7 linked regions of the Ovis aries genome follow. The main gene of each other region encodes a partner of the protein of the gene in region 3 in a complex. Links are inferred from orthologs where the notes say so. Each region holds a gene or a part of one and is shown on either strand. Other genes may lie near its edges. The genes, in order: LTB4R, CHRM4, GNAI1, SMO, FFAR2, S1PR1 and LPAR1.

Region 1 (4,093 bases), on a different chromosome or scaffold from region 3:
CCAGGGGCCTGGGGAAGCCCAAAGGCAAAGCGGCAGTGGGCAAGTTGTCTAAGTCTGTCCTGTGCCTGTCAGGTTGGCAGAGGGTGAGGCAGAAACAGGGAGGGACAAGGTGGGGCTCCTCTTGGGCCTTTCCAGGAGCCCTCCCTCACCCTGCTGCTTCCCATCACTAACTCGTCCAGGCATGTGAGAGCCCGCCTCCCCAAGAAACAGGATAGGCTGAGGGGGTGCAGATGAGGTTCCCTGGGTGTGTGGGTGAGTAGGGACCCTGCCGGATCCTGGCCCTGGGTCCTGCCTCTGCACTCATTTCCCCCCTGCAACACACACACACCCCCGGTTCTCAGCCCTCCCACCCTGCAGCTCTTACACTGTCAGGCGTCCCTTGCCAGCTCTCAGCAGAGAAGGCAACCCAACTCCTCATTCCCATAGCTGCTGTATCTTTGCCTGTTTTCGGACTCCTGACACTTAAGCCCCTCTTCCTCAGCTTCCTACCTACCCCCTCTCACCTCCTGCCTTGGGCCCTACTCGTCACTCCAGCCTCACGGCTCTCAGAGGGCTATCAGTGACAACTTTCAGTGTAAAGCATGGGGCTAAGTGCCTGGGGGGAGTGGGAGATGCACGGAGGTGTGACGGGCTTATAGGCTGCGTGCAGAGTTGTGACACACACCCATGAAGAGGCCACACTGCTGGGCTGCACCGGGATATGAGGTGAGGAAAAAGGAGAGGCTGCGGTGAGAGACACACTGGAAGGAAGCCGTCTCTGGGTGGTGAGGTCAGGCAAAACTTAGGAATGAAATTTGGCAGATTGATAACAGTGAGGGAAGAAGGAAAAAGGCTTCTGCCTGTTAACAGCCAGAAAGAGGCTCCTTGGGAGCCAGGACACCAGTATTAGTTTGGTTTCCCTCCCAGCAGAGCCTGAGTCGAGGGTGTGGATTCAGGTAATCCTGTCTCTAGGCGGTCAGCTCGGGAAGCCAGAGTGAGAGCAAGGGAAGGGGAAGAGGGGAGCCAGTAAGAGTGTGTTATTGTGTTCCTTCAGTGGGCTCCAGGAACCTCTGAGCACACGGAATACCTTCCCGAAAGACGGAAGGCAGATGTTTATGTCCAGCTCACCTTCCCCATTGTTTGAGGGTTGTCCTAGAGGCTATAATGCCCTGACGCACACTTGCAGCCTGTCCTGTACAGCTTCAGACAAGGCTCCTGGACAGTGTTTGTGTGATGTGTTCACTGACAGTGAGAGTCTGAGCTTCCACACAACTGTTATCACAACCACAGCTGAAGTGAGAGATGGGACACGGGATACCTAAAGTCCATTAAAGGAGGCATTTTCTCTGCCCCCAACCATGACTGTGCGTCCTGTCGCTCAGTCATGTGTGACTCTTTTCGACCCCATGGACTAGTCCACCAGGCTCCTCTGTCCATAGGGACCTCCTCCAGGGGATCTTCCTGACCCAGGGACTGGACCCACATCTGTCTCCTGCATTGGTAGGCGGGTTCTTTACCATTAGCGCCACCTGGGAAGCCCCCATCCATGACTCCTTCATGCTATTTATTGGCCAGTGGGAGGGAAAAGTGAGTGACTAATCCACTGTGACTGAAGCAGGCAGTTCTAGAGACGGAAGTCAGAGAAATGTTAAGCCAGCCCCTCCCCTGGACCACAGAAGGAAGAGCAGGGAAGCAGGAAGGCCAAGGTCCCAGACAAGATCCTGATGATCCTAGATCCATGGGTTACACCCCGTGGGTGCATACTGCCTCCTAACCTGTTTTCTCCAAGCCCTGCAGATCCTCAGCACAGCCTCCCTTTTCCTAAAACTGCAGTAAATGTTTTTTTCAGTAGGTGGCAGCACATACAAAGCAAAGCACATAACGCAGCTTTGCACAGATTGGCAGCTAGAAATTCCCTCCATATAAAGAAAAACACCAGAGATTACATTCCAGTTACATAGTTCCTGTTTACTCTCACATCACACACTGCCACCAGAGACACTCTCACAAAACCTCCATGGCTTTTGCCTGGCATCTGGGGACACAGTCCTTCCACCACCACGCCACACCCCCACCCCCAACTTGGACTTTGCCCTGTGTACTGGCCAGGCAGAGGGGGCCAGAGTCCAGGCTTGACTCATCCCCCTACTCACTGGGGCTGAGATCCCAGCTCTGTAACAGAAAACACCACCACTTCAGCTCCAGCCCAGCAGAGAAGCACCCAGCCTAGGTATCCAGGGAGAGGCTCCTCTCCGGGTCCCTCCCTCCACCATGGAGTACCTCTCTAACCTGGACCCCAGCGGCCTGCTCAGGTGACTCCTAACCCCCCACTCCACTCTCCAGCTCTGGGTATATGGGCAGAGCCACAACACTCCATTCAGCCTCTAGCTTCCTTTGTGCCCCTCCCCCTCCCTGCCACCACTTTTCACAGTGGGCTTGTCTAGACTCTGCCCCACACCCAGTCCCCCATTCTCCCCATTCCCCCGCCAGCCCCCCACGTCCTCCATCCCTGCTCGGTAGTCTTTTCCTCTCCCTGGGCTACTCTAATCTGCAAACCTAGAGCCTCTCTCCCAACTCTCCTAACGCTGCAGCTACCCCACCCATGCCCATCACCCCCAGTGCACTCAGCAGGCCTCTCACCCCTTCTTGACCCTCCTTCCCACCTACCAGGTCAGTATCCAACATGAGCGCCGATTTGGGCCGAAAGGTCTGGACCTCGGCTCCACCACCCCAGCGACCTTTCCGAGTCTGTGATCACAAGCGGACCACCCGGAAAGGCCTGACAGCCGCTACCCGTCAGGAACTGCTAGACAAGGCGAGTGAGTCAAGTCCCTGGGTGCCAAGAGTAGGGGCAGCCAAGGGGCTAGTCAAGAGAGAGAGTTTGGAATGATGAGCAGAAAGAGCTGTGGTTATTACATGGCTGCCCCTCCCTCTGAGGGCTGAAAGCAGGGAGGTCAGCCCGATGGCTTCTACTGCATTTGAGGCGATTTATTTTTTTTTCTAAGGAGCAAGCTTCTCTTTGGGGGTGGGGGAGGAGTGTATAGGGTTGGAGCAATACATTTCAGAACTCCAATGTATGGAACGGCAGTGTCTGACAGATCAAATTCAAATCCTGATTCTGCCGCTTCCTACTGTCAAATCTTGGGTAGGTATTCAGCCCATCAAAACTTCAGTTTCTTCATTTGTAAAAAGGAAACGATACAGCTGCCTCCTTGGGCTGTGGAAAGGTATAGCAGATAAGGTATGAAAGTGCTACAACAGATACTTGACCCTTGTGAAGACTCAAAAAGGTGAAAAGTCACCATTACTGCAAACAGCTCTGGAGAACTGTGAGGGTTGGGGAGAGTGAGCTGGGGTGCTGGAGATGAGACCCCATCATGGCAGGCCTTGTCAGCATAATACCTTAACCCCAGAGAACTTGGCTAGTTTTTCAGTTCCAAACCGGCAGGTGTGGCTTGGAAGCTGGGAGAGGTGACAGTGCCTGGCAGGAGCAAAACAGGACAAATGGGAAAACAATGGGCCCTAATGAGGGTTTCCCAACAACCAAACAACACTGTGAGCTGGAGCCTTCTGCAGGGACGCCAGAGAGCCGCGGAGAGCTGGGGTCAGCACCCAGCACCCAGGGCCCACCGCTGGGTGCTGGGTGCTGGGCAGAGACAGGGCACAGGATAAGCTCTGCCCCTCCCCTCCTGCTTCTTGCCACTGGGCAGGCTCTGGAGGCCCTGGCGCTGAGTGGAGCACTCACACTGGTGCTGGAGGAAGACGGGACCACCGTGGAGAGCGAGGACTTCTTCCAGCTGTTGGAGGATGACACGTGCCTGATGGTGCTGGAGCTGGGACAGCGCTGGAGCCCCCGCAGGGTGAGAGGCCCATACTGGGGCTGCAGTAGACCACTGATCCCTTCTGTCTCTCCCAAGCCTCTTGTCTTGCCTAGCCCTGATCTTGAGGGCAGAGGCAATGAGAGAGGTGAGGAGTTGTCAGACTCCTCATAGAGGACAAACAATCCAGGCAAGGGGCGGGGGGTCAGTGTCTGTCCCAGGGCTGATAGGGTTTAGTGGTGAAGCTTCAGTACACTGATGAGGGGGGGTGCCCTGCAGAGTGGGGTGCTGTCGTA
Region 2 (4,254 bases), on a different chromosome or scaffold from region 3:
CTTACACGCGAGGATGTGAATTAACTTGCCTAAAGTTACCCAGTGTGTAAGGAGGGGTGGGGGCAGAATTAGAGCCCGGGAGCCACCTTAACCCCCAGGTGCTACAACAGCCTCTTGTTTTCCTGCCTCTACTCTATCCTGCCTCAGGTGGCTCAGCGGTTAAAAGAATCCATCTGCAACATAGGAGACACCAGAGACAGGAGTTCAATACCAAGGTTGGGAAGATCCCCTGGAGAAGGAAAAGCAACCCGCTCCAGTATTCTTACATGGAGAATCCTGATGGACAGAGGAGCCTGGCAGGCTACAGTCCATGGGGTCACAAAGAGTCGGACACAACTGAGCACACAGCACCGGGGTGGATCTGGGGAGGCCTGGGTGTAGGGTCTCTTCTCATTCCCTGTGGGCTCCCTCTCTTAGCTTTCCCAGAGAAAAACAGATCTCTTACCTCCATCTGAACAGCTTGTCTCCAATCAGGTGGCCAAGGGTTTACTCCTTGCCCTGGACCTGCTTGGGGAAGCGGCCAGCTGCAGACAGGTCTAGGCAAATACTTTCCCCTCTTCCCGCCCCAAATATCTTTCAGGGGGTCACCCGCAGACATTCCAACTGCACCCTCTGCTGGGGCGCTTCTCTGGGATTCAGGCCCCGCGGGAACCTGGGGAGCAGCCACCGCCCGGGGATGTGTGCACCGCTAGATGGCAATGTCGGTCCCTGGGTGCAGCTCCGGATCTAGAGCAGGTGGCCGCTATTCGCCCACCGCCCCCAAACTCCAAGAGCTACAGGGAACTCACGGGAAGTCCCAGGTAGGGCCTCACAGGGGAGGGCCTAGGAGCCCCTTCGCCAGGCCCCGCCCCAGAGCTGCATTGGGCTCCTCCAGGGGTTCCGCAGTGGGAAAGTTAAGGGCACCCGGTTCCACCCGGCACACTGCGAGGCATGGGTGGGCGGGAAGGCGAGTGCGAGTTCTGTTTGTGTGTGATCACTGGGGAGCGCGAGTAGAAGCTAGTAGCTGTCTGCATGTGCTGTGTGTGTGCGCGCTGAGCCACGCCTGGATACCAGTGCGCCCGTGTGCGCGTGAGCATGCTCGCGCGGTGTGGACACGTGCATGTGCATGTCTCTGTGTGTGCCTGGAGTGCTGCGGCCTGGGCATGCACACGGTTCGGGTGTGCCTGCATCTGTGAGCCTGTGTACAGGAGCAAATGCCGGATCCACCGTGGGTCCTGTGCGTCCCGCCCCTGCCCGGAGGCTCAGCCCATACTTCGGCTGTCTGAGTATGAAGAAGGTCGGCCAAGAACCCGGGTCTAGATCGCTCCCCGCCTGTGTATGGGGAAGCGTTCCCGGCTGCACCGCAAGACCCGACTACAGTCTGAGTTGCCTGGGAGACCCCAGACGTGGGGGCATCGTCTTAGCTCAGGGCCCCGCGGTGTGTGCGTCCCCAACATTGAGGTGCCGAATCCCGGACTGGGACGGGCTTTTGTCGAGGGGTTGCTGTTAAGAGTCTCTCAACCTGACTTGCGGGACACTCGGTTCTGCTCAGTGTGCCCACTGCGCAGATATCGCCAAAGGGCGCCCAGTCTGCGGGGGAAGGGTGCCAGAAGCACCTCCATAACTGGGATGCCCGGCCGGGACTTGTGTAAGGCGTGTGTAAGACTCTTTCCCATCTCACACTCCTAACCCTGAACCCCGCCGTAGAGGAACCGCCCGGCATCAGCGGCTGGAGAGGGCACCCGGCCTCTCGAGCCCTGGACTGGGGTGGGCCTCGTCGGGAATTATTACTGGGCCCAACTGGAGACCACGTCTCCCCGACTCCCTGGTGGTCGAAGGGGCCCTGGCTCCCCCGTGCCCCACCCTCCCCCAACTCCCTGGAACGCAGTTTCTGCAGCCTCTGGGCGTGGGCACCTTGCTTTCCTGGGAACTGGAGCCCCCCTTTCCCCAGGCGCCAGGGCCGGGGGGCGGTGGTGGTGAAGGGCGGGGGTGGGAGGTGAGTCCTCGATTCCTAGGCGTTCACGCTAGGGCTCCAGGAAGGCTGTGGTCTCTGCTGTGTCCCTGGGGTAGGAGAGGAGACTCAGGAGTTGCGGGGAGGGAGAAGGGGCGCAGGGGATTTGGCACCGACACTGCACTGCGCGTGACACTTCCGCCATGGGGCTCGGGGCTAGGTGCTGGACCTCCCAGTCTCTGAGCCTGGGCGACAAAGGAGGGGAGTCTTGGAGGGGGGAGGGGCGCCAGGAGAGGGCAGGGGTGTTTCCAGTCAGAGTTCAAGGTCGCTGATGGAGGATTCGGTGGACTGGAGTGGGCTGGCGGCGCCGGGGTGGCGAGGAGACGGGCGGGAAAAAGCCTCTTTGGGGCTCCAGCGCCCGGCGCCCCGAAGAGCTGCCAGTGCAGGATGAAGTACGGGGTCCCGCCCCCGACGGCTGCCCCGGGCTCCTGAGGGGCTGCGGGCGGGCACACACACCGGCACCAGCACCGCCGCCGCCCGACCCACTGCTTGTCCATTCCTTCCCGGAGGCGCACCTGGAGAAGCCTCCGAGCCACACTCCGGGCCTTTCTTCCAGCGGGCCCCTCACCCCCCAGGCCTTCTGCAGCTCCCAGCACCGGGCTCGCCCCCGAAGAAGCCTGGGGCCCTGTCCTAGTCGGGCCCGCCTCGGGGAGCCTCCGAGGGTCCGCGAGCCACGCGTCCTTCTCTGCCCACTGAGTCCCCCGCCCCCGCGCAGCCGCGGAGTCACTTACCAGACACCTCCGCCCCGTTCCCCTCGCACCTGACAGACGGCGGGACTGGGGGGTGGCCCCGCGGGCCGGCGGGCGGGGCGCGCGGCCGGGCCGCGGGCCGGGGGCGGGGACGGGGTGCAGAGGGGCGGCCCCTGCTCCGCCCGCAGCTCCCGGCGCTGTGGCTGAGACTCGCGCTCACGCTCGCACTTTTCCCCGAGCCGCGTGATGTCACGGGGAAGCAGCCAATCCTGGCGGGGCCGCGCCGCCCGCCCCGGGCCGGCCACCCAACGGGGACGCGCGGGGGGCACCACCCCGGCGTCGGGGACCCCTGCTACGCGCGCCCCTCCCTGGAGCCGGCCGGAGGCTCTCCACTCGGGCACTGTGGGGGGCACCGCCCGCGGCTCCCAGCGCGGCTTAGCGGGGGGCGCTGCCCTCCCGGGAGCATGGGGGGGTGGGGTGGGGTGGGGTGTCCGCGTTGTCATGGGGACGCGGCGCCCCCTCGCGGGCTGGGAAGGGAGCTGGCAGCCCCGTCTGGCTGCGCTCCCGCCCCCGCTCTGACCAAGCCCAGGGGACGGGGAGGGGGTCTCGTGCCCCACCCGGGTCTCTCTCCTCACACTGCCCGGCTCGCAGCTGGACCACCGGGGCGCGAGTGTTTGACCCTAACAGGAAGTTATGGGTGGGTGGGTGGGGTGGGCTCTCTGCCGTCCGGGTTCCGTCGGGGCAGAGCCGAGGGCCGGCAGTTTCGAGCCTCCAGACGGAGTATTGGCCTCCGGGCAGCCAGGGAAGAAGGGGCGCCGTCGGGGCCTGGAAAGGCGCTGGAGAGAGAAGCTAGGCGACGGTCCCTAGGGAGAAAGGAGCTGGCTCATCGCACGCAACCTCGCCCGACCCCCATTCCTGCCGTCCGGCTCCCTGCTCCCGCGTTCCAAGCCGGAGAGCGGGTGTGCGCCCTTTCTCCAGCCCCGGGGACAGGACGCGGGGCCCTCCGGCCTGCAGGGCAAGCTCTCCGATGCCTGTGAGGGAAATCTGAGTGCCCAAGGTCACCTGGGGTGGAACCCGGAACGAGAGCCTCGAGGGAGATAGCTGCGGGTCTCTTGAGGTGTTCGAGAACGGCGCGGGCCGAAGCCCTGGGGCTCGGGGCCTTGCCTGCCCCGAGCTGGAGGGCCAGTTGGGGCGCTCGAGGGATGAGCGCTGGAAGGCTTCAGCACCTCGGAGAGCGCCACCTCGACGCTGACCTCGGCTGCTCCGCTCCGCCTGCGGGCACCAGCGTTCCTGCCTCCCCCGAGACCTTCCTTCCTGCGGCCGGCTAAGGTCCGACTTGCCCCCCCCATCCCCCACCCTGCCCCACCACATGCCCAGGCCCCGGGGCTTGCCACCCCAAACTCTCTGAGCGCGAACGTCCGATTAAACCTTAAGACGGATGGTTTCTTTTCTTGAAAAAACAATTCAAGTCCCGCCCCTCCTCCACGGGTTGGGCGGGGGGCTGTGTGTGCTGGGCGCGGGGAGGTGGAGGGCGTACCGCAGCGGAGGAGGCAGCAGGAGCTGCCAGAAAAGGGG
Region 3 (4,113 bases):
GGAAACTGGCAATCTCTCCCAGGCCCCAGGCCTTCCTTAGGAGACCCACTCTAAGGCTATCCTTCCTGTAGCATCAGCTCAGCCTTACCTTCTTGGAAAACTCAAGCCCAGTTTTTTAAACAAAGTTTTTATTTTTATTTTTAGAAAATAAGACTTATAAATGGTTGCTCTTTGGTTTCTGTTAGAGCAATTACCTAATATAACACATCAAAGAAGACGTTTTTCTTTGCTACCAACCCAGTCTTATAATCAACCAACATTTCCTGTGATATCTGTAAGGAAAAGTGCAACTGACAGAGACCAGATCTTAAGCCTATGCTCATTGATGACACGCTGGGTGAGATGCCTCCAACGCCCACAGAAGTGATTTCTCCCAGACCAGGTAAAGCTGGAAGGATGGAGGCTAGTGTGGATCAGTTCCATCTCATTTTATGGTTCAGGAAGCCAAAGCCTGCAATAAAGAATGACATGCCCAGTGGCTTCTGATTTACTAACATGGTCATGAATATTGGTGCAGAACTTGGCTTGGAAGCTTCTATGTCGCCCCAGAGGAGGTCAGTTACGGTGAGGAGGGGTTTTGTTTGTGTGGGTGTGTTGGCTCTTATTTTAAAAATATACTCTTTGATTCTTTGTCTCATATTTTCTCAGGTTTGAGGAAATCCTTCAAAATGTTTTCTGCCTGTGGAAAGGAACGTGAAAATGGATGGTAGGAGGGAGGAGAGAAGGAAAAAAAAAAAAAGGAAGAAAGTTGACCTCTTGTCCTCCCGGGACTTTCTGTTCCCCACTTCACCTGCTCGGCTTTCTCCATGGCTCCATTCCCAAACCAGCTCGCTCTATCTCCCACCGCCATGAAGGCCCGCTAACACGGGTTTGCATTTTGAAAACCCTCGCGCGCCCGCCCGAGCTGGGCATGCTCAAACGCCCAGGACTGGTTTTTTTTCGGTTTCCAACTTTGGCAGCTCTCCCACCCGCACCCCAAGGGGCAGGTCCGCACACATCCCTGGGTGTGAGTAAATGGGAAGAAATTATCACACTCTCGAGGAGGAAGCCAGGTAGAGGAATTCCCCGAGAGGTTTGGGGCTCCTTGGCCGCTTCCCAGGGGCGCTTCCCACGGGCGCGCGCGGGTGGCCGGCCCTCGCGGGCTGTGCGGCGCCAGGGTCCGCGGCAGCGCGGGTGCGCGCGCCCATCCGAGGGGGCGAGGTCCGAGGGCTCGTGCGCGGGCGCGCGCTCTGGGAGTGGTCGCGGGGCGGCGGGCGGGGCGGCAGGGGCGGGGACGCGGCGGCGCGCGGACGCCTCGGCGAGCTGGGCTTCTTAGAGGCTGCAGCGCGGCCACCAGTAGGAGGCCGCTGGCAGCTGCTCCGAGAGCCTAGGAACCTGGTCTTAGGGGGCGCCTAGGGAGGCGAGGAGTAGAGCCTGACTGTAGAAAAGAGCTGCGCGGTGCTGCTCGCCCTTCGGCAGAGAGCGCTGCCCTCGCTCAGTTTCGGAAGGAGGTAGGGGTGGCGTGGCCGGCGTCAGGAGGAATTCGAACGCCTGCATCCAGAAAGAAAGAATTCACCTGTGTTTCGAGGCAGCGCGCCGGACTTGGAGGGAGCGGCAGCCAGCTTTCGCTCCTGGCACAATGGGCTGTACGCTGAGCGCCGAGGACAAGGCAGCGGTGGAGCGGAGTAAGATGATCGACCGGAACCTCCGGGAGGATGGCGAGAAGGCGGCGCGCGAGGTCAAGCTGCTGCTGCTCGGTAAGGGCGGCCGGGCCGGGTTGGGCGCCTGGTGGGCCTGGAACCCGGGGTTCGGGCGGCAGAGCCGGGCGCGGCTGTGCTGGGCTCTTTGGCGTTGGGAAACCCGGAGGGGACGTGCCAAAGCGGCGGAGGGCGCATCGTGTAGCGTCCGAGGATGGTTTCGGAGCGCGAGCTTGTGCCGCGCAGAGCTGAGGCGGGGGCCCCTCTCCTCGGTCTTCTTCTCTTTGCTCCCTTGGCCGCGGAGAACTCGCCGGTGGCGCGGCAAGACTTCACTCGCGTGCCTGGTGTGAAATTTCACCAGGAGCCCAGGAGCGGTTCGCAAGGAAGCCCCCTTCTTTTAAGTTAGCTCAGCTTTATCAAAATGAAAGGGCATTGGCGAAAAAGAAAGAAGAGCACCCCCCGCACTAAAACCCTGCGTACAAGGCATCGTATCGCGGTTGTGGTTTCCTCGAGGATGTCAAGAGTGCCACGTTTTGTGAAATCAGTGCACCTTTTGTGGGGCCTCCCTAGGGTTGAATTGTGTCTTTCTGGTGAACTTCCTATGGCGACTCAGTAAGTGTTAAAGGAGCACTGATTACATTTACCTTGCGTAGGGGAAGTAGGCTATGCTGGATTTTTAAAAATAACTGTGGGGATATGAGAACCACCAAAGTTGGGTAACTGGCTTCAGTAAAACCGATGTGAAAGGTGTGAATGGGTCACACGGGACAACAGGATTCTCCTCTGCTGCCAGGGCTTCTGATGAATGAGATTTGCCAGGTCGACGCAAGGCTTTTATTTGTTCTTAGTATTGTTCTGGTGGTAAAACGCTCTGCGGAGGTCTTTTCCAGCTGTTTGAAGGAAGGGAACGTGAAAAGAGTAATCCAGGATTTTGATTGAGGGATACATTTGGAAAATATTCACAGTTTAAGATTTTTGATGTGTGAGTTAGGATTTTCTTTTGTTTGCCCCGCCCCCCCACCCCCCGCAAACACACCACACCACCCTACCTATAGGTAGCAAAGTAGGTGAAAGATTTCTCAGAATCTTTGTTTGCACTGCAGCGACTGCTTTTGTTTTTGTAACAGTTATAATAAAATAAATACTATTGCACAAGCCTATTTTCAGTAAGCTTCTGTTTCATTGGTTTAATGAGTGCAGGAAAAATGGTGGGTTTTTTTCTCCATTACTAGTAGGCTTAGAAGCTGCAAACTTGGCATGACTAAAAGTAATAATGATCTGAGTCATTCTACAAGTAAACTGTGAAATAACTTTGCATTTTAGAGACCTGGTGGTTTTTCCACACCTCCCCCTACCCAAAGTAAATCTTTCTCAGTTTATACTGTTTACCTAAGTTTTTACATTAATAAGAAATAGTCTTTTGAGGAAGGCAATATATTTTTAGTATCTTGAACACAGAAGGGACATACCTTGGTATGGGAACATATAGGTGCTCCTCTTTCAAATGGAATGTGCTTCAGACAAAAATGGAGAAAGGATTGAAAAGTTCTCTTCAGCAGTTTGTGCACTCCTGCTCTGATGTATTATTTCAGTGTATTGTGTGACGCTCATTTTGAGCCAGCTATCCACCATGTTTGTTTAAAGCCTTGAAAAATGAGTCCTCTGGTATGGTAATATGCTTTACATAGATGTCTATTAGAAATAGACAAGGATAAGGGTCCAAGGAGTTGGTGTTTGCTTATATTCAGAAGAGATCAGTATTTCTCAAACTTAGCACTACTGGCATTTTGGATGGAATATCTCTTTGTTGTGAAAGCTGTGTTGTGCCTTATAGGAAGCTTAGCAGAATCTTTGGCCTCCAACTAATGTCTCAAACATGCCCTAGGGGCAAGTTTAATCTCAGCTGAGACTAGCTCTTCTAGACTGAAAAATATATACTGAATATGTAGGGTAGAACCTGAGTTTGGATCTCTACCATGAACTGTAGTGAGAACTCTGAGGGAGGTGTAGCAGAGCTACGATTTTCAGAAGAAATTAAGGAGTTTTGTTTCTCCATACCAAGTACATTAGAAGGCTTTCAAAATGACTTAAAATCTTTAGGTAGCTGATTTTTTTCAGCTCTCTTTTTTAGCTTTAGTCTTGTGCTGTTCCCACACCTTTTCTCTGTAGAAGTCCCATCATAGCATCATATTATTGGCCCAGTGAATTAGGCCTTACAAAACAGAGGACCTCCTCGTCTGTCTTACTCCCATCCTACCCTCTACCCTTTTGCCCAGAGTTCCAACATTCTAGTTCCTTTAAACAGAATGTTGGCTTATTCTTGGAATGTTTGAAAAAATATTTCTTTTTCCTAGTTTGACTTTAGCAGTGAAGTGTTGACCTTTGGTTCTTTGGGGGATTTTTTTTTTTAGTTCTTAGTGTGTAAAGAGCTCAATTA
Region 4 (3,500 bases), about 52 Mb from region 3:
ACCTCATTCTGGCAAGGGGAGAAGACAATACAATGGAAAGCAGTAGGCTCGAGGTGACCTTTGGTTTAATAGGAGGTGCAGGGTTAGCATGGCAGAGAGGCTGAAAGCGCAGGTGCTGTAGACAACCTTCCAGCATCTGAATCCCAGCCTTGCGGCTCAGGGACCACATAGCCTAGGGCAAGTTATGTGACCTCCCCGTTAGCTGTTTCCTGATCGGAGAGCAGTACTTACTTCATGGTGTGATCTAAGGGTTAAGTGAATAAATAAATAAATGTAAGATGTTTAAAATGTATGTGGACAGTAATAAATAATGATTACTATTATTATTATTAATGTGCTCTCCTTCACCCCAGAACTAGATCCCATCCCTGTCTTGGTGTCTCTTGCGTTTCACATGTGCAAGCCTTGACTTCCTAAATAAACGATAAACTTTCTGAGAATAGGTTTGTCACTCATGACTCCTGTAACTCCCCACTGTGTAACAAAGTGGGTGCTCAAAAATGTTTTATAACTAGACAAGATAATCCCTGATGGACTGGCCCAGTTTTGGTTTGGGTCTGTGGCTCGCTGAGCCCACGACTTGGGATCTTTCAGCTCATTAGGCTCTGAGCTTCCCTGCCCCTGCTGGGCCTTGTCCCCATGCCCAGCTCAGCCCCAGCCCAGCCCTGCGGAGCACTCACCGGGCAGCCCTCAGGGAAGTGGTCGGGGGTGCAGCGCAGGAAGTCGGGCCAGCCCCGCTCCCTCTCCACGATGGCACAGGGGCCGCGGGTGGCCTGGCAGAGGGTACGGCTGGGCAGCTCCACCCGGTCGTTCTCACACTTAGGCATGTACACAGCACACAGTAGGGGCTGGATCACTGCCCAGCAGCGGGGGGCGTTCCGGAGGCCTGGGGGTGTAGCCACAGTGTGGATACATTGCAGTGAAGACCCTTCCTCACCTTGACCCACAGACCCAGCTGCATCCCTGTTCCCTGGGCCTAAACCATCTCTCTTGGCCACGCTGCAGGCCATGACTGCTCAGTTCCATCAGGCACAGCATTTCTCAGCCAGGCATTTGGGCGGGACCATTCTTTGTGCAGAACTGTCCCATGTACTGCAGGACATTTGGCATCCCTAGAACCTGCCTACTAAATGCCAACAGAACCCCTAAGTCCTAGTGACAAGCAAAAAAATGCTCCCCACCCCTCCCACTCCAGGCTTGGGACTGGAAGAAGCTTGATGAGGACTTCTGGGACACTGGTGATGTTCTATTTCTTGATCTGGTACCAGTTACACGGGTATATTTACCTTGTGAAAATCAATCTGTGCCCCTTTTCTCCATGTATTAACATATTGCAGTTCAATTCAAGTTTTTAAAAAGCAGCCCCCATTTCAAAATGACCCAAATGTTGGCATCTCTGGTTGAGAACCCAAAATCAATTTACCTTTTAATTTTTCAGGGGCATTCTTAAACCTTCTACAGTCCATGGGGAAGGAGGGCTGTGGGACCCACCCCCACAGGGCCCGTGCACCAGATCCAGGAGGTGTTTCCCCTTGCCCAGACCCCCGGACCCTTGTTCCTCTTACCAAGCTGAGGTGGGACAGAGAACAGGTAGGAGCTTAGGAAGAGGTAGTCAGGGGAGCCAGGTAATCCAAAGCCAGAAGAGGAAACAGGAAATCAGATGGAGAGAAACAGAGGAGGCTGTTTCCAGTGCAGGGGGAGGAAAGGTCTTGTCAGCAAGACGCACGCAGGTGGAGGTCTCCCAGCACCCCCGCCCCAGCCCAGGCCTCTACCCTGCTCCCCCGCTGGCTGAGCTCACTTCAGCATTCCATCCCTCTGTTCCTCCTGAATCATCCCTCCTGCAGGAACACCTATTTCCCAAACAAGACATTGTATTAGGATAAGCTTCTGAGGAAGTGAGAGCTGACATGGGGAACTGCCCAGGCTGGAGCTGGTGGGGGCAGGTAACTTCTCTTTTGGGGAGGGAGGGATAAGGAGCATGGACCTCAAAATTTGGCCTGCCTGAGTCCAAACTGTGGCTCTACCATTTCCTGGCTGTGTGATCTTGGACAAATTACTTAATCTTGAGCCTTAATTTCCTCATCTGTGAAATGGGGACAATAGATTTAGTGGAACTGTGGTGCAGAGTGAAATAATGTGCCAAATGTATATAGCCCAGTACCTGTCATATACTAAGCACTCAAGAGATATTAGCTGTTACTGTTACTTATCTGAGGCCTCTGACCACTCACAGCTCTCACTAGCAAAGCCTATTCTAAGGGCGCAAAGCAAATTCCTATTGCTTAATAGGCAGTGTTCTTGAGGGACTTCCCTGGTGGTTCAGTGGCTAAGACTCTATCCAGGTTTGATCCCTGATCAGGGGACTAGTCAACTAAAAGGTGCAGCATGCTGCGACTAAAGATCCCACCTGCAGCAACTAAGACCCAACGCAGCAAAATTATATATAGATATAAATTTTTTTTAAGTGACAGACTTTATTTTCTTGGGCTCCAAAATCACTGCAGATGACTGCAGTAATGAAAGTGACTGCAGCCATGAAATTAAGATGCTTGCGCCTTGGAAGCCTGGCGTGCTGCAATCCATGGGGCTACAGAGTCGGACACAACGGAGCAACTGAACTGAACTGGTATTTTAAAAGAAGACATGTTCCTACCAACGGTTCTCAGACCTGACTCAAATCAGAATCACCTGGGGGACCTCTATCCCTCTAGATGGAGAACCCAGTCTCCAAAATTCTGACTGCCTGGGTATGGGTGGAGGACACAGCAGTGGTTGCCAGGGGATGGAGTAGGAGAGGACTTTGCCTACCAAGGGACAGCACGAGGGAACATTTGGGGGTGATGGGGCTGTTCTCCATCTTGAATGCAGTGGCTGCATCCAGGCTATGCCTTTGTCTAAACTCACAGAACTGTGACAACAAAGAAAGTGAATTTTACTGGATGTTTATTACACAATACATTTTAAATAGGGAGGAGCTCCCTAGAGTAAAATGTATTTTAGAGGAGAAACAGATGGACGTTTAATAAAGATACTGTGGAATATGGGCTGGTCTTAGTGACTTGCTCTACCAATAAAATGTGGTGGCAGTGATGTTCTCAAACTCTCAAGCCTGGATCATAATAAGAAGCCATTTGGTTTTTGCCTGGGTCTCTTGGAACCCTTGTTCTTGAAGCCCAGTTGCCATGTAATCAGATTAACTATCCCAAGGCTGTCCTGCTGAAGAGGCCTGGTGGAGACTGCATTGACAGACCCTGGGCCCAAAAGAAGAAAGGGAAAGGTCAGTTCACTTCAGTGGCTCAGTCGTGTCTGACTGTTTGTGACCCCACAGGCTGCAGCACACCAGGCTTCCCTGTCCATCACCAACTCCTGGAGCCTACTCAAACTCATGTCCATCGCGTCAGTCATGCCATCCACCATCTCATCCTTTGTTGTCCCCTTCTCATTGAAAGAGAAAGAGATGCTGCGTTTTTCAAGTTCCCAACTTTTCCAGTTATCCCAGT
Region 5 (4,170 bases), on a different chromosome or scaffold from region 3:
TGGCACGTCTGTGCCCTCAGCCTCCAGATAGCCTACCAGGTGGCTCACTCTCTAGGAAGCTGTCCAGCTGGCTTGGGAGGAGGGACCACGTCCTCTTACGGGCATCCATTACATGTAAAGCACTGGCTTGAATCCCTTATCTACGCTGCCTTGGGGACCCCTCACAGAAGTCCTGGAATGTAAGTATCCCCGTCCTCGCTTGACTATCAAGGAAACTAAAGTTCAGAAAATTGATCTGCCTCAAGGTCACAACGAAGGGACTTGGATTTGCGCCCACATCTTGATTTGGGGCTTGCCTGGTGGCTCAGCTTGTAAAGAATCCACCTGCAATGCGGGAGACCTGGGTTCGATCCCTGGGTTGCAAAGATCCCCTGGAGAAGGAAATGGCAACCCACTGCCATATTCTGGCCTGAAGAATTCCACGGACAGAGGAGCCTGGCAGACTATAGTCCATGGAGTCGCAAAGAGTCGAGACATGACTGAGTGCATTTCACTTCACTTCACCACATGATTTTAAATCTCACACTGACATAGGCTAGGAGAAAGTGATCAGTTTCCACTGGGCAGGCTAAAGAGACTTGTTGCGCAGGAAACTTCAGAAAGAGAAGAAAAGGAAGTATAAAACTCTTTTTGGAGACTGAGTAGAATTACAGAAGAAACCGCCTAGAAAAGAGAAGACGATGAAATAATCTGACTTGGGAAATGGGGGGGAGGGGGAATGCCTGGGATTGAAAAAAAATTCAGGAACTAAGGACAGAAAATCTGGGTTTGGAAATCAGAGTGAGGATCTCGGGGCGAGTGGTGGGGAATAAAGATGCTCACATCCTTTCCTTTGGGTTCGAGAGGAGACAGCACTCAATTACTGAGCTTCCCCTCTTCGGTCACATGACCATTGCTGATACAAAAGCTTTCTACCAGCCAAGTTTCTTACCACTTTTTGCTGTGTGAAATGGGCGGTAGCCGTAGCTAATGCTCTGTGCCTCTTTCCCAGAAGCTTTCAGACTCTCCTTCAAGACTAATCCCAAGAAGCCATTTATCCCGAAGGAAGACAAGGCAAGGCAGCTTGCTTAATGCTTGCACTCTGGGAAGTGATGCCAGGATCAGGAAAGCGTTGAGGGTGGCTGGAGGAAACTGACTGTGAGAGGATCAAAACCAGAAACAGCAGCCAATGGGGGCAAGAAATTGCGGAGCAGACACTAACCCTGGAGAGAGGATGGAGGGGCCAGACAGCGTGCGGCCAGTGAGGCTGACAAACCAAACGGAAACTGTTACCCTGTTAAGAAGAGTTGCTCTGTTTGTTGTCAAAACACCCGGCTCAGGACCAGTGACAGCCCGTGTGCTTTTCTGAATATTCTCTGAAGTCTCTCGGGGGACAAGCCCCATAGAATATTGTGGGCTCACCCCTCCTCCCTGCGCCCCCTCCCCGCACTTCTCCAGCTTCCTCTTTGCAATCTAGTCCCCCAGTCCGAGTCTGTATTGGACTGGGGAGGGAGAGGTGGAGAAGAATTTGTGTTCTGCAAAAGGAGAGGAAAACAGGTAAGGGGATGGATGGGGGGCTGGGCACCTGCTTCCTGGGCCAGTAGCAGGGTCCTGAGGAGGAATCAGCCCTAGGTCGCGGGGCCTGGGTTTTCAGAGCCCGAGTTCTCCTGAGAGAAGTCTTCCAATACCCTCCTTGCTGGGGTGAGGCTTGCCTTTTCTCTTTGCAGGTCTCTAACTGGGGAAAGGACTTGAGGAAGGTTGCAGACTGCTAACAGTAACTTCCTGTGTCCAGGAGGAGAGGAGGAGAGAGGCTGGGAGAACCACAGGGGGAATTCCCTTGGGCAGCCAAGGGTTGGTCTCCCCCAGAGACACACGATGGCAAACGTAGTAACTACTGCTTAATATCCCGCCCCAAGCAAAGTCAATAATTGCTCTGGGCAGTTCTGGCAGGTGGTGTGAACAAGCAGTGGTGGGGGCAGAGAGCCCTGGCCTGGGAAAGGGAGCATGCCCGGGAAGATGTCCACAGACTGAACCAGACTAGGGTCTGCAGTCTGTGAGCTGGTTCACCTGACCTTGCCCCCTACCCCTTTTCATCCTCTTCCAGGACAGCCATGCCAAACTTGGACAGCTCCTTGATCCTCGCGGCCTACATTATTATCTTGCTCACCGGTCTCCCTGCCAACCTCCTGGCGCTGCGAGCCTTCCTGGGACGGGTGCGCCAGCCCCACCCCGCACCCGTCCACATCCTCCTGCTCAACCTGACACTGGCCGACCTCCTGCTGCTGCTGCTGCTGCCCTTCAAGATCATCGAAGCCGCGTCTGACTTCCTCTGGGAGCTGTCTGATCTAGCCTGTGCCCTCATGGGTTTCGGCTTCTACAGCAGCATCTACTGCAGCACGTGGCTACTGGCGGGCATCAGCATCGAGCGCTACCTGGGAGTGGCTTTCCCCTTGCAGTACAAGCTGTCCCGCCGGCCTGTGTATGGAGTGATCGCTGCTCTGATCGCCTGGGTCATGTCCTTTGGTCACGGCACCGTGGTGATCATTGTTCAGTACCTGAATTCAACCCAGAGGGTCCCAAAGGAGAATGAGACCTCCTGCTACGAGAACTTCAGCCAAGAGCAGCTGAGGATATTGCTGCCCATTCGGCTGGAGCTGTGCCTCCTCCTCTTCTTTCTCCCCATGGTCGTCACCACCTTTTGCTACTGGCGCTTTGTGTGGATCATGCTCACCCAGCCCCATATGGGGGCTCAGAAGCGGCGCCGAGCCATGGGGCTGGCCATCGTATCGCTCCTTAATTTCCTGCTGTGCTTTGGGCCCTATAACATATCCCACCTGGTGGGGTTCCACATGAAAGCAAGCCCCAAGTGGCGGAGGGAAGCTGTCGTATTTGGTAGCCTCAATGCCAGTCTGGACCCCTTTCTTTTCTATTTCTCTTCCTCAGTCGTACGCAGGTCGTTTGGGAAAGGGCTGCAGGCACTGCACCATCGGGGCTCCTCTCTTTTGGGACGCAGATGCAAAGAAACGGCGGAGGCCACGAATGAGGACCCGGGTGTGAGTCAAGCAGAGGGAGCGCCGAGTTCGGACTTCACCATGGACTAGGGATGTTCCTGGACCTTCGGAGGAACTCTGAGTTTTGTAGGAGTTGAGCAGGCTTGGAGAGGGAGAATACGAGTTCCTGGCCCTGATTCAGGGATTTCCCTCCACCCAGACCCAATCGACTCCTGAGGACTGTAAAAATCTCTCTCACCAGCTCCATATCCCTTCCTGACTGAATTTCCTTCCCAAAGGAGCATAGCTCCAGGACTAAAGAAGAAACAGTTGGGCACAGAAGCACACTATCAGACCAGAGTTTCTGAAGCAATATAGCTAATGCAGATTCCAGCAGTCCTTGTGAGGCAGTTAGTAGCTGAAGCTAAGGCAATCTTGCTACCAGCTTGGCAACACCTACACGCTGGTCTAGTTGGTGGTGCTGAAAAGAAGCCCATGGAAAAGATAGAAGAGAAATACTAAACGAGATCGAAAATGTAAGAAGGCTCTGAACCTAGGGGACTAGGAGGGAGGACGGGGATTTAGACCTCTAATGACTGAGGTGTGGACAATATCCAGCTAACCTGCTGCTTTGTAAGTATGATCCTGTCTTTGTGTGTGTACCTGTCTCCCCCAGTAAACTGGGAGCCACCTGACGTCTGGGTAGGTATTCTCCCTCCATGGTGCTTCCTGCAGGTCAGAACCCAGCTTGGTACCCATCAGTTAGGGCTCAACTCTCACTAGCACAGGAAAAGACAATGTGGTCTGGCAGATTAAAAATAAAGATTAGAGACTTTCCTGGTGGTCCAATGGTGAAGATTCCGTGCTTCCACTTCAGGGGGCACAGGTTCAATCCCTGGTCAGGGATCTAGGATCCTGCATGGGGAACTAAGATTCTCCATGCCACAAGGTGTGGCCAGAAAAAAAAAAAGAATGAAAATAAAGATTATAAAACCCTGAAGAGAGTGTCCACAATTTTTGTGACATTTCTGCAAGCACAAAGAGAGCAAAAATGGAATGGAGAATTAGACTCTGGTAGTGGGAGGGTGCTGCCTCTGAAACCACAGAAATCTGTTAAGATAAAGATGTCATCAGAGTGGAATGAGTAAGCAGAATAAGTATGGATGGATTCCTCTAGACCAATGAATAGAGATTAGATTCA
Region 6 (4,144 bases), on a different chromosome or scaffold from region 3:
CTTGGTTTCTATGTCTTACGAATTTACTGTTGTTGAATTTGAGGGTGTGTGCTGGGCTCAAGGCTGTTGATGAGAGCTTTTGGGGAAACTGTATTCTAACTGTCATTTGATTTTTTTTTTTTTTTTTCCTTTGCAAAGTCATAAGATCCCAGAAGCCAGGAGTTGTTGTTTATTCATTCAGCCTCCTTCTGAGTCATTCAGGTACAGGGTGTGCCTGTACTGTGTTAATTGAAACTTCACAACGGAGAAGTTTTGCGTTGACATCTGCCTGGATGGGAAGCCAGTGAGACCAGAGATCGGGTGGAAACCGTCTTGCAAAGCCTCAAGCAGAAGGGCAGGGCAGAAGGGCCCTCAGTTTACCACTTAGGCGGAGCTGACCAAGGCCGACTCTCAGTCTCACATTCTGAAGCAGCATGCAAGCGAAAGGAAACAGTGGGCGAGTTGTGAGCACTGAGGCTGGGCCTCCGAAGTAGAAAGACGTAGAAAGACAGACAAGGGCTCCGGCCCCAGGCTGCCGGTCCTAGGCTGGTCCGTGCCGGGCAGCCCTTTCTCTTTGGAAACTCCTGAGCTGCCCAAGCTATTTAAACTCGCGGGCCCCGGCAGCTGCCCACCTCCTCACAGACCTCACCACTGGCTAGAATCTGGGACACAAGGCCTGATTTTGCGCCCAGTTGAGTGAGGGGAACCCCCGCACAACACCTCGCCCCCAGCTGGCCCATTTCACTGTGCGCCCCGCGAAAGCCACTTTCTGCCCCCTCAGACCGCAAGTTTCGAGGCAGCAGAAGGATGAGGGTGAGGGAGGGAGGTGAGCTGAAGCGGTGGAACCTCCCAGGCCATTCTTCTACCCGGGCAGCATTTCTCCTCCATCCTTCTGGCAGCCCCTTCCCAGCACCCCGTCCCCAGGAACACGACCGGGACTCGCGGGGTCGCGGAGCTGGTTTCCCCCTGCCTCCGCAGAAGCGCCTGGGGTCGTGGTGGGGTGGCGGCCCGGAGCGCCCGGCCACAATCTTCGGACTCCGATCCCCCACGGGCTGCGGGGTTAAGGGGACCAGAAAGGCGCACTAGATTGCCCAGGCCGTCCTCTGTCTCCCAAGACTCTTCTTGAGAAAAGTTTCCAAAAGCGCTTCCCCTCCTTTCTTTTCTAAGGCTGGGGAGAGCTGTCTCCACCGCCAGGGAGCGGCGGATAGCAGGGCGAGGACCGTGATTTATACATTGAGTCCAGGGGGCACCAGGCTCCGCCCCCTTTCTTTCTTTCTTTTTTTTTTCCCCCTTCTTTTTTTGGTTCCCTTGGGGAGGAGGGGCTCTTTTTTGTCTGTGTGTTTCTGCTGCAGATCTTTCCTGGACAGTGAGTCTCAGCTGCACAGATCCGGCGGCCCCCAGGCGCGAGCGGAGGGGCACGGGGGTTTGAGGCACTCACTCCTCCTCATCCCTTCCTAGAGAAGCCGCTCAGCCTCAGCGGGGCGCTCGGCGACTTCAGCTGACCGGTCTGCCCGGCCACGGCAAGAGCGTTGGCCATTGGAGTGTGCGGCTGCGGAGGGAGGGGACCCCGACTCGAGTAAATTGAGAGCTCGACGCCGTCAGTCCCGGGCAGCAGCAAGATGCCGAGCGCTCAGTGCAGACCCGGAGCTCCGCGAACGCAGCTGCGTCCCGCCTGAGCCAGGTAGGGAGTGAGCGCTGGGCAGGCGCGGACCCGGGCGAGCAGGGGAGCATCGCGACCGGAGGTCTTCCGAGGCAGAAACAAAATTTTCAAACCGGAGAGAAGCAAAGCAACACTTTTAAACCATCCATCTCTGGGTGCTGAGAACAAGCATCTCTGGGCTACTCAGGCGCCCAACCGGATCGGATTGTTCTGGGCTCACTAAAAAGTTTGGAAAAGGGTTAAGTCCTCTTTGTAGAACCCTCTGGGGTTGGGGGATAGAGGAAGTTGCGGTGGGTCTGCGGAGTGGGAGGGAAGGCGCTTATTTTGGAAAATCCTATAGACAAAGACTGCGGGAGATGAGGTAAGGGCTTAAACTTGCCCTGCGAGCGAGCGAGTGTGGAATTAGGTGGGGGGAAACGCGGAGCTACTGGGCGCCGAGCAGCCTCTGCTGTCCCGGGAATTGCTGTAGTCTGGAGAATTCCACTTTTATCGCATTTGCTACCCTGAGTGTTACCCTGAAACATTTAAACAACTTACGGGTAGACTTCTGCCCACACGTGCCGTGTTTCATCCCCTCCACACTTCGTAGTTCTCTGAGACGAGGCAACGTATTGAGGGAGGGCAGTAAATAAAACTGGCTTAGCAAGGAACCTCCAGACTTCTGTTTGTATGAGTTTCTGGAGAGTAATTTTGCATTCGAAATTTGAAATGCAGTGGCGTGTATTTTTAGCGTTTGTAATTTAATTTCTCTTTTTTGTATGCGTGTTTGGGCTATATCCACAGTAACTAAAAAATACTTTTGCAATCAATGGGTGTACGAAACTTCTGGGATTTATTGCAATAGCTTATGAATGATTTTTACTGAGTACTTTTATAGTTTCTTGCACTGACTTGCGCGGAAAAAAAAAAAAAAAAGAAGAAGAAGAAGAATGAAAAGGCAGTTGCTTCACGGAGGCGCTAAAGCTTTCCTGTTTACCGCAAGGCCAGGGCGGGCTTGGCTGCCCACACTGTGCTGCGCCTTCGGACCCTAAGCACACCTGCTCCTAGAGATTATTAATAGAGCCTAAAAAGTGACTTACGCTGTCAAATGATTTTCGCGCAAATCTAACTTCTTGCATGGCAATTAGGAGGTGGTTTTAGCTGGGTAGTGCCGAGCACAGAGGTGTGCGTCTCACATTGGTGGTTTGGTCTCTTCGAAGGTGTGACTAGGAGCTAGTGGTGAGCCCGCCGCGAAGCTGGTGAAGGCTTTAGTTTTTCAACTGGAGCTGGAAATCTGGTGGAGGTGGGGACAGCGTTGGGAGAGGCGGAGGGGTGTGTGTGTGTGTGTGTGTGTGTGTGTTGAGGACGTAGGAGTGGAATTAAATGGGGCTCACACCTCCAGTTTTCCCATTTCCATTTGGGTATATGTAACCATAGGGGACGTTTTCGTCTTGTCGTCGAGTCGGAGTTTTCATCTTGGGTAATTTTTCTTTTTTCCCTTTCTTTCTCTCTCTCACCCTTCTTCCTTTTTCCCCCCAAGAAATGAGAGTTTGATGTTTTTTTTTTTTTTTTAAATCCTTCCCCCCTGCGCTCTCCCCAAGTTTCCTTAAAACAAATCAACAAGAAAATTGGAGCAATGCCTTCGCTAGAATGAATTATGCCAATGTGCTGTGGCTTTTTCCCTGACTCTCTGCTCTTTGTGATTTGTTTAAGGCTGTGGTTTCCGAGGCCCTCTCCAGCTTAAGAAAACCTTCACAAAAAAAGCCTGGATCTCTCTCCTTGAACCACCCCGGCTGCCTGTGAAGGCTCGCTCCGCTTCGCCCTCTAGCGTTCATCTGCAGAAGCGCCGCCCCGGGTGTCGGGACCGTGCGCATCATGGGGTCCACCCGCATCCCCCTGGTCAAGGCCCTGCACAGCCCTGTCTCCGACTATGTCAACTACGACATCATTGTCCGGCATTATAACTACACGGGAAAGCTGAAGATCAGCGCGGACAAGGACAATGGCATTAAACTGATCTCAGTGGTGTTCATTCTTATCTGCTGCTTTATCATCCTAGAGAACATCTTTGTTTTGCTGACCATCTGGAAAACCAAGAAGTTCCACCGACCCATGTACTATTTTATCGGCAACCTGGCCCTCTCAGACCTGTTGGCGGGAGTGGCCTACACAGCCAACCTGCTCTTGTCTGGGGCCACCACCTACAAGCTAACCCCCGCCCAGTGGTTTCTGCGGGAAGGGAGTATGTTTGTGGCCCTCTCGGCCTCCGTGTTCAGCCTCCTGGCCATCGCCATTGAGCGCTACATCACTATGCTGAAGATGAAGCTCCACAATGGGAGCAACCGGTTCCGCTCCTTCCTGCTCATCAGTGCCTGCTGGGTCATCTCCCTCGTCCTGGGGGGCCTGCCCATCATGGGCTGGAACTGCATCAGCACGCTGCCCAGCTGCTCCACCGTGCTGCCGCTCTACCACAAGCACTATATCCTCTTTTGCACCACGGTCTTCACTCTGCTCCTGCTCGCCATT
Region 7 (3,992 bases), on a different chromosome or scaffold from region 3:
AGCTAAGTGAGTTTTCTGAGTTGATAGAGCTATAGTTGAAAACAAAAGTCCTTTTCAAGTATATTCTTTCTTTTCTTACCAATATATACTTTGTATTATACTTAGATTATATAGTGGATATTTTCCTATTCGTCCTGGTGCATTAGAGTTTAACATCAGCTCTCATTGTTCACAGTGTGATGTTTTTATATACTTTCTGCATGCTGTAAATGAACATACTAGCACTGTGCATGTATTAAAATCTCTAATTTTTCACATTATCTATTATAAAAGAAATTATAAATTGGTAGGAAAGGGGAGATGGAGAAGGAAATGGCAACCCACTCCAGTGTTCTTGCCTGGAGAATCCCAGGGATGGGGGAGCCTGGTGGGCTGCCATCTATGGGGTCGCACAGAATTGGGGACGAGTGAAGCGACTTAGCAGCAGCAGCAGGAAAGGGGAGAAGGCAGTCATTTAAGCTGATTTTTTAACAAAGGGGATTTGATACATTGTTTGAAAAAGGAAACAGCCTCAGATAGTAACTGACGAGCAGTCAGGTTTTTAGCCTTGAGCATCCTGTGAAAACCACGAGACCAACTCACCCAAGGTTCTCAGCAGTCGCTTGCGGGAGATGGTCACGTTCTCTTCGAAAGTATACCAAGAAATCTTCCCCTCCCCACTCGCTGCGGTTCCCAGTGACCTCTCTCTTCTGCAAAGCCTTAGGTTACCGAGTGACCGGCATCAACGCAGCCCTCCCTCGCGGTTCTGCCTTTCTTTCTTACAGGTAGTTGGATCAGTCCTGCCAAAGTTCCTACCATACCGCTGGCGTGGCCCCCACGTGCCATTTCAGGCCAGAGTGCAGTGTTTACTTGTAAGCAGCTACTTTTGTTGTGCAGCGCCTTTAGCAGTGAAGCCAGAGGCAGACTGCCAACGCTCCTAAAAGCCAGGGGTGGTAGGTGGTAGGTGGCGCGGCAGGAGAGCCCTCGCGTCCTCCCTGTGGCCGCCCCCTCCGTGGACTGGGAGGTGTTCAGAACCTGGGCGAGTCTCTCCGGCTGCCTCTTTCCGGAGAAGGATCTCCAGGCCTTAGTCCCGCACCGCTCCCGCCCACACCTTCAGGTGTGTATTCCCCGCCCTTAATTACTCTTCTAAAATTGATAGTTTGCACTTCTTGGCGAAGTGCAAGTGCAAACTGGGAAAGCGGAAGAGAAATGTATAATCATGGACATGGAGAACTAGGGGCGCACAGTCACACTTGCTTTAGTCTGCAGACCCAGTCAGTCGCAAACTCAGAAATAGAAACGTGTGCACCTTTCGGGCAGCAAAGTTGACTCCGCGTTCTTCGCAGCCTCGAGTTAAAAGCTGCGCTGGGAGAGCTGTGCCTGCTGGAAAGTTTGGACACGAACTACGCGAGAGGCCAGACGTTAGGGTTTCCGCGGGCCCGGCGATGTCTTCCAGAGCTTTTCAAGTGGGAAGAAAAGAGCGACAAAATGAAAATGCAACGTGTGGGGGTGGCCACCCGAGTCCCGCAAGCTGCCGGTCTCAGAGGTGAGCGCGGGAGCGGGTGCGGGGTGGGGAGCTGGAGTTGGAGGCCAGAGGGTCTCGGGCCGCGGGTGGGTTCTCTCCGGGTGGGGGGCGCTGGGAAGATGATGAATGGGAGGCTTGAGCTACCTTCCGCCCCCGCCCTGCAGACGGGGCTGGAAGTCCAACTAAATGGGGGAGGAGGAGCGCCGAGGGTCGGGGCTCGGGGGGCGTCGCGCCAGGTAAGGGAATGAGCCAGGGGGAGGGAGTCGGGAGGTGCAGGACTTGCTGACTTGTGCTACGTGGAGCCAGCAGAAAAGAAGGAGGCGGAGGAAGAAGGCGGCCGGCGTCGGCGCGGCTCCCGTGGCCCTCCCTCGGCGCCCCCTCCCCCGCCGCCCCTGCCAGCGCGCCAAAGCCGGAGCACTCCGGGCGGAGCGGCGGCAGACGCTCCCCGAGCCGCGACGCCCCTGTCCCCCTGCGGAGCCCGCCCGGGTGTCGGGCGGCCAGGGTCCCCCCCCCCGCTGCTGAGCCCTTCCCGGCCTCCCGGCCGCGCTCGGGACCCCGGCGGGGTGGGCGCAGGGGGCGGCCCCGCTCCGGGCGACGGCCGAGGGGCGGGCGGAGGGCCGGGCTCGGCGGGCCGCGGGGCGGGGGCTGCGGGGATTGACCGCGCAGCCTGAGGCCAGCCTGGGGGCGGCGGGAGCCGGACGCGAGGCGGCGGCGGGCGCAGGTAAAGGCGCGGGCGCGGCGCGGGCAGACGGTACCCTCTGAGCGCAGAGCCTGCGGCCGCCGGGTCCCTTCCGCGGCCAAAGGGCGCCCCGGGATCGCGCTTCCCGGCAGCAGACGCGCTTTGTGGCTGTGGGTGCGTGTGTTTGTGCGTGTGTTTGTGTGTGTGTGTATACGCGCGCGCCTGTGCCGGGTGTGGGTGCGTGTCTATGCCCGCGGGCCAGCCTGTAGGAGCGAGGCGCTGCCGGCCTCCCCAACCAGTTGACCGAGCCCCGGGAGAGCAGTTGCGGCAGCCGCCCGGGGTCCCCGCCCTCCGGTCCCCAGCGCGCTCCGGGGCCCACGCTGTGCGCTGTGCCTGCGATCGGGACCCGCCCAAGTGACACGTAGGTGGTCCCCGCTTACCTGGGACTGGGTGGGGGCACAAGAAGGCAGGCGGGGGGCGCTCTACGACCTCCCCAAGCCGTGTCCGGGTGGCCTTGGGCCGCCGGGGGTCCTCGCGCCCCGCAGCGCCGGGCTCCCGCACCACTTGCTTCTCACCCCCACTCAGCCGTCTCTCCCGGCTGAGGACTTAAAGCTTAAGTTTCTGCTCACCCGCCTAATAAACACGTTTATCAAGTAACTGGGAAGTCTAAAGCAAGGGAGGGACCTGGCTTTGAGTTGGTGGTTTTGAAATCGACGGGCTACTTGTGTGTGTGTGTGTGTGTGTGTGTGTGTGTGTGTGTGTGTGTAGGACGAGTTTGTCGTGAATGGATTTACCATTTATTCTGGTTTTCTTTGCTGCCATTTGGACTTCGATGTGTAAGAATGACGGTATCCAGGACTTGCTGCTGCCTTCACTCTGGGGCCTGAGATTCCTGCTCTCTGCTGCTACTTCTCTTTCTTTTCCTTTTTGTTGAAATCTATGGAGTTTTTGTAAACGTGGGTTTCCAGTGAGAGCTGGCTTGTTAAAGTTTCACTGTGAACGCGTTGTTTTCTATTGGAATAAACACATATTTACAAACATGAATCTTGAAACAAGTAACTGCAGTTAGGAGAGCAAAATCCTCTATTCCTTCAGGCTTTAACAGTCCGAGTTTTTCACCTATTTGCTCAAGTGTCATTTGCCCAGCCTACGTATAACCGTGAAGCGGGAGGTCTGTGATTTAAAGCTTTCAGTTCCGGTTATAGAGAGACTGCACTGGGAAACCTGCAAAGTTCCTTCTCCTAAGAAACTATTCCCTTGACAGATAAAGAGTAGTAAAGCCCCAAGGAAAAAGGGTGTGTACTGGAATTATGCTTATTTGGACGGAACTAAATTGTGTTAACACACATATGTCATCCGGTTGTTTCTACCCTTGATTCTCCAATTCAAGGAGACTGGAGAATATTTGTCCCCAAAGCAAAATTGTGAATAACGATCACCATTATTAAGACTGCGTTTTTCTTGATATGGTTTAATTTGAGAATAAAGAAGCCAAGTAGCCAGAGAAAGAGGTAGTGTGTGGCAGGGTCAGGCTGAAGGACCAGCAGGAGGACTGGGTTATCACAATGAGCCACAGGCACACCACGCCCCCTAGCGGTGCGACCTTAGCCAGTTGGGTAAACTAGTCCTCCCTTGCCCGTGTCCTCATCTGGAAAATGGAAGGAAGGGTTTGATCATCTTTGCTGTTCCTTCCAGCTCCTTGCGATAACTAGAAACTGGAGGGTGGTTATCCCATGTTAGAACAGTAGGAAGTGAGTAAAGGGGAGAATAAACCGTTAGTCTGGGAGGTACGGGGGAGGGCAAGCAGGC

The links.
Region 1: the proteins of GNAI1 (region 3) and LTB4R are in contact, whole or in part, in a cryo-EM structure (PDB 7VKT), measured with the Homo sapiens proteins. The link is inferred for Ovis aries from reciprocal best matches to the Homo sapiens genes GNAI1 and LTB4R. Residues at the interface, in NP_002060.4 of Homo sapiens: Glu28, Ala31, Arg32, Leu194, Glu318, Tyr320, Thr340, Asp341, Ile343, Ile344, Lys345, Asn347, Leu348, Asp350, Cys351, Gly352, Leu353, Phe354; in NP_001137391.1 of Homo sapiens: Thr53, Asp114, Arg115, Ala118, Val119, Pro122, Phe123, Ser125, Gln126, Lys127, Arg129, Thr130, Leu208, Arg211, Arg212, Phe213, Arg215, Arg217, Arg218, Thr219, Gly289, Gly290, Gly291.
Region 2: the proteins of GNAI1 (region 3) and CHRM4 are in contact, whole or in part, in a cryo-EM structure (PDB 7TRK), measured with the Homo sapiens proteins. The link is inferred for Ovis aries from reciprocal best matches to the Homo sapiens genes GNAI1 and CHRM4. Residues at the interface, in NP_002060.4 of Homo sapiens: Arg32, Leu194, Glu318, Tyr320, Phe336, Asp337, Ala338, Thr340, Asp341, Ile343, Ile344, Lys345, Asn347, Leu348, Lys349, Asp350, Cys351, Gly352, Leu353, Phe354; in NP_000732.2 of Homo sapiens: Asn67, Arg130, Cys133, Val134, Pro137, Leu138, Pro141, Ala142, Ile218, Ala221, Ser222, Ser224, Val226, Arg394, Lys397, Val398, Thr401, Ile402, Cys456, Asn457.
Region 4: the proteins of GNAI1 (region 3) and SMO are in contact, whole or in part, in a cryo-EM structure (PDB 6XBM), measured with the Homo sapiens proteins. The link is inferred for Ovis aries from reciprocal best matches to the Homo sapiens genes GNAI1 and SMO. Residues at the interface, in NP_002060.4 of Homo sapiens: Glu28, Arg32, Glu33, Lys192, Leu194, Gln333, Phe336, Asp337, Thr340, Asp341, Ile343, Ile344, Asn347, Leu348, Lys349, Asp350, Cys351, Gly352, Leu353, Phe354; in NP_005622.1 of Homo sapiens: Arg261, Pro263, Ala264, Trp339, Ser342, Phe343, Ala345, Leu346, Gly347, Thr348, Thr349, Tyr350, Ser354, His433, Pro434, Gly435, Ser438, Lys440, Ala441, Lys444, Ile445, Glu447, Thr448, Arg451, Trp535.
Region 5: the proteins of GNAI1 (region 3) and FFAR2 are in contact, whole or in part, in a cryo-EM structure (PDB 9NS9), measured with the Homo sapiens proteins. The link is inferred for Ovis aries from reciprocal best matches to the Homo sapiens genes GNAI1 and FFAR2. Residues at the interface, in NP_002060.4 of Homo sapiens: Glu28, Ala31, Arg32, Glu33, Val34, Asp193, Leu194, Phe336, Thr340, Asp341, Ile343, Ile344, Lys345, Asn347, Leu348, Asp350, Cys351, Gly352, Leu353, Phe354; in NP_001357016.1 of Homo sapiens: Gln40, Ala42, Val44, His45, Glu106, Arg107, Gly110, Val111, Pro114, Val115, Tyr117, Lys118, Leu119, Ser120, Arg121, Arg122, Phe202, Met206, Gln209, Pro210, Leu211, Val212, Arg216, Arg219, Ala220, Leu223, Ala224, Phe273, Ser276, Ser277.
Region 6: the proteins of GNAI1 (region 3) and S1PR1 are in contact, whole or in part, in a cryo-EM structure (PDB 7VIE), measured with the Homo sapiens proteins. The link is inferred for Ovis aries from reciprocal best matches to the Homo sapiens genes GNAI1 and S1PR1. Residues at the interface, in NP_002060.4 of Homo sapiens: Ala31, Arg32, Glu33, Val34, Leu194, Thr219, Tyr320, Phe334, Asp337, Ala338, Thr340, Asp341, Ile343, Ile344, Lys345, Asn347, Leu348, Lys349, Asp350, Cys351, Gly352, Leu353, Phe354; in NP_001307659.1 of Homo sapiens: Arg78, Met80, Arg142, Thr145, Met146, Met149, Lys150, Leu151, His152, Asn153, Arg231, Ser232, Leu235, Thr236, Phe237, Lys250, Leu254, Thr257, Thr314, Asn315, Lys316.
Region 7: the proteins of GNAI1 (region 3) and LPAR1 are in contact, whole or in part, in a cryo-EM structure (PDB 7YU7), measured with the Homo sapiens proteins. The link is inferred for Ovis aries from reciprocal best matches to the Homo sapiens genes GNAI1 and LPAR1. Residues at the interface, in NP_002060.4 of Homo sapiens: Ala31, Arg32, Leu194, Gly217, Val218, Thr219, Tyr320, Gln333, Phe334, Phe336, Asp337, Ala338, Thr340, Asp341, Val342, Ile343, Ile344, Lys345, Asn346, Asn347, Leu348, Asp350, Cys351, Gly352, Leu353, Phe354; in NP_001338326.1 of Homo sapiens: Ile84, Tyr85, Arg146, Thr149, Val150, Arg152, Met153, Gln154, Leu155, His156, Tyr225, Tyr231, Val232, Arg235, Thr236, Arg238, Met239, Thr252, Ser255, Leu256, Thr259, Arg314, Asp315.

What each region holds. Positions count from the first base shown.
Region 1 is NC_056060.1:20,677,597-20,681,689, forward strand, and holds the start of LTB4R (leukotriene B4 receptor 1), read right to left. Parts: upstream 2,801-4,093; 5' UTR 2,795-2,800; coding exon of another isoform or gene 2,665-2,794; coding exon 2,647-2,664; intron 2,292-2,646; coding exon of another isoform or gene 2,251-2,291; exon of another isoform or gene 2,169-2,250; intron 66-2,168; exon of another isoform or gene 1-65. Other genes in the region: lipid transferase CIDEB, read left to right, coding at 2,251-2,291, 2,650-2,794, 3,690-3,839, 4,077-4,093. UniProt on the Homo sapiens protein: Receptor for extracellular ATP > UTP and ADP. The activity of this receptor is mediated by G proteins which activate a phosphatidylinositol-calcium second messenger system.
Region 2 is NC_056068.1:75,317,270-75,321,523, forward strand, and holds the start of CHRM4 (muscarinic acetylcholine receptor M4), read right to left. Parts: upstream 2,801-4,254; 5' UTR 2,722-2,800; intron 1-2,721. UniProt on the Homo sapiens protein: The muscarinic acetylcholine receptor mediates various cellular responses, including inhibition of adenylate cyclase, breakdown of phosphoinositides and modulation of potassium channels through the action of G proteins.
Region 3 is NC_056057.1:42,546,185-42,550,297, reverse strand, and holds the start of GNAI1 (guanine nucleotide-binding protein G(i) subunit alpha-1), read left to right. Parts: upstream 1-1,313; 5' UTR 1,314-1,618; coding exon 1,619-1,736; intron 1,737-4,113. UniProt on the Homo sapiens protein: Guanine nucleotide-binding proteins (G proteins) function as transducers downstream of G protein-coupled receptors (GPCRs) in numerous signaling cascades.
Region 4 is NC_056057.1:94,816,574-94,820,073, reverse strand, and holds part of SMO (protein smoothened), read right to left. Parts: exon of another isoform or gene 1,566-3,500; intron 887-1,565; coding exon 681-886; intron 9-680; coding exon 1-8. UniProt on the Homo sapiens protein: G protein-coupled receptor which associates with the patched protein (PTCH) to transduce hedgehog protein signaling. Binding of sonic hedgehog (SHH) to its receptor patched prevents inhibition of smoothened (SMO) by patched.
Region 5 is NC_056067.1:45,404,719-45,408,888, forward strand, and holds FFAR2 (free fatty acid receptor 2), read left to right. Parts: upstream 1-1,370; 5' UTR 1,371-1,536; intron 1,537-2,083; 5' UTR 2,084-2,090; coding exon 2,091-3,080; 3' UTR 3,081-3,969; downstream 3,970-4,170. UniProt on the Homo sapiens protein: G protein-coupled receptor that is activated by a major product of dietary fiber digestion, the short chain fatty acids (SCFAs), and that plays a role in the regulation of whole-body energy homeostasis and in intestinal immunity.
Region 6 is NC_056054.1:78,585,834-78,589,977, forward strand, and holds the start of S1PR1 (sphingosine 1-phosphate receptor 1), read left to right. Parts: upstream 1-1,344; 5' UTR 1,345-1,660; exon of another isoform or gene 1,661-3,098; intron 3,099-3,331; 5' UTR 3,332-3,493; coding exon 3,494-4,144.
Region 7 is NC_056055.1:12,383,330-12,387,321, forward strand, and holds the start of LPAR1 (lysophosphatidic acid receptor 1), read left to right. Parts: upstream 1-1,192; 5' UTR 1,193-1,525; intron 1,526-1,909; exon of another isoform or gene 1,910-3,992.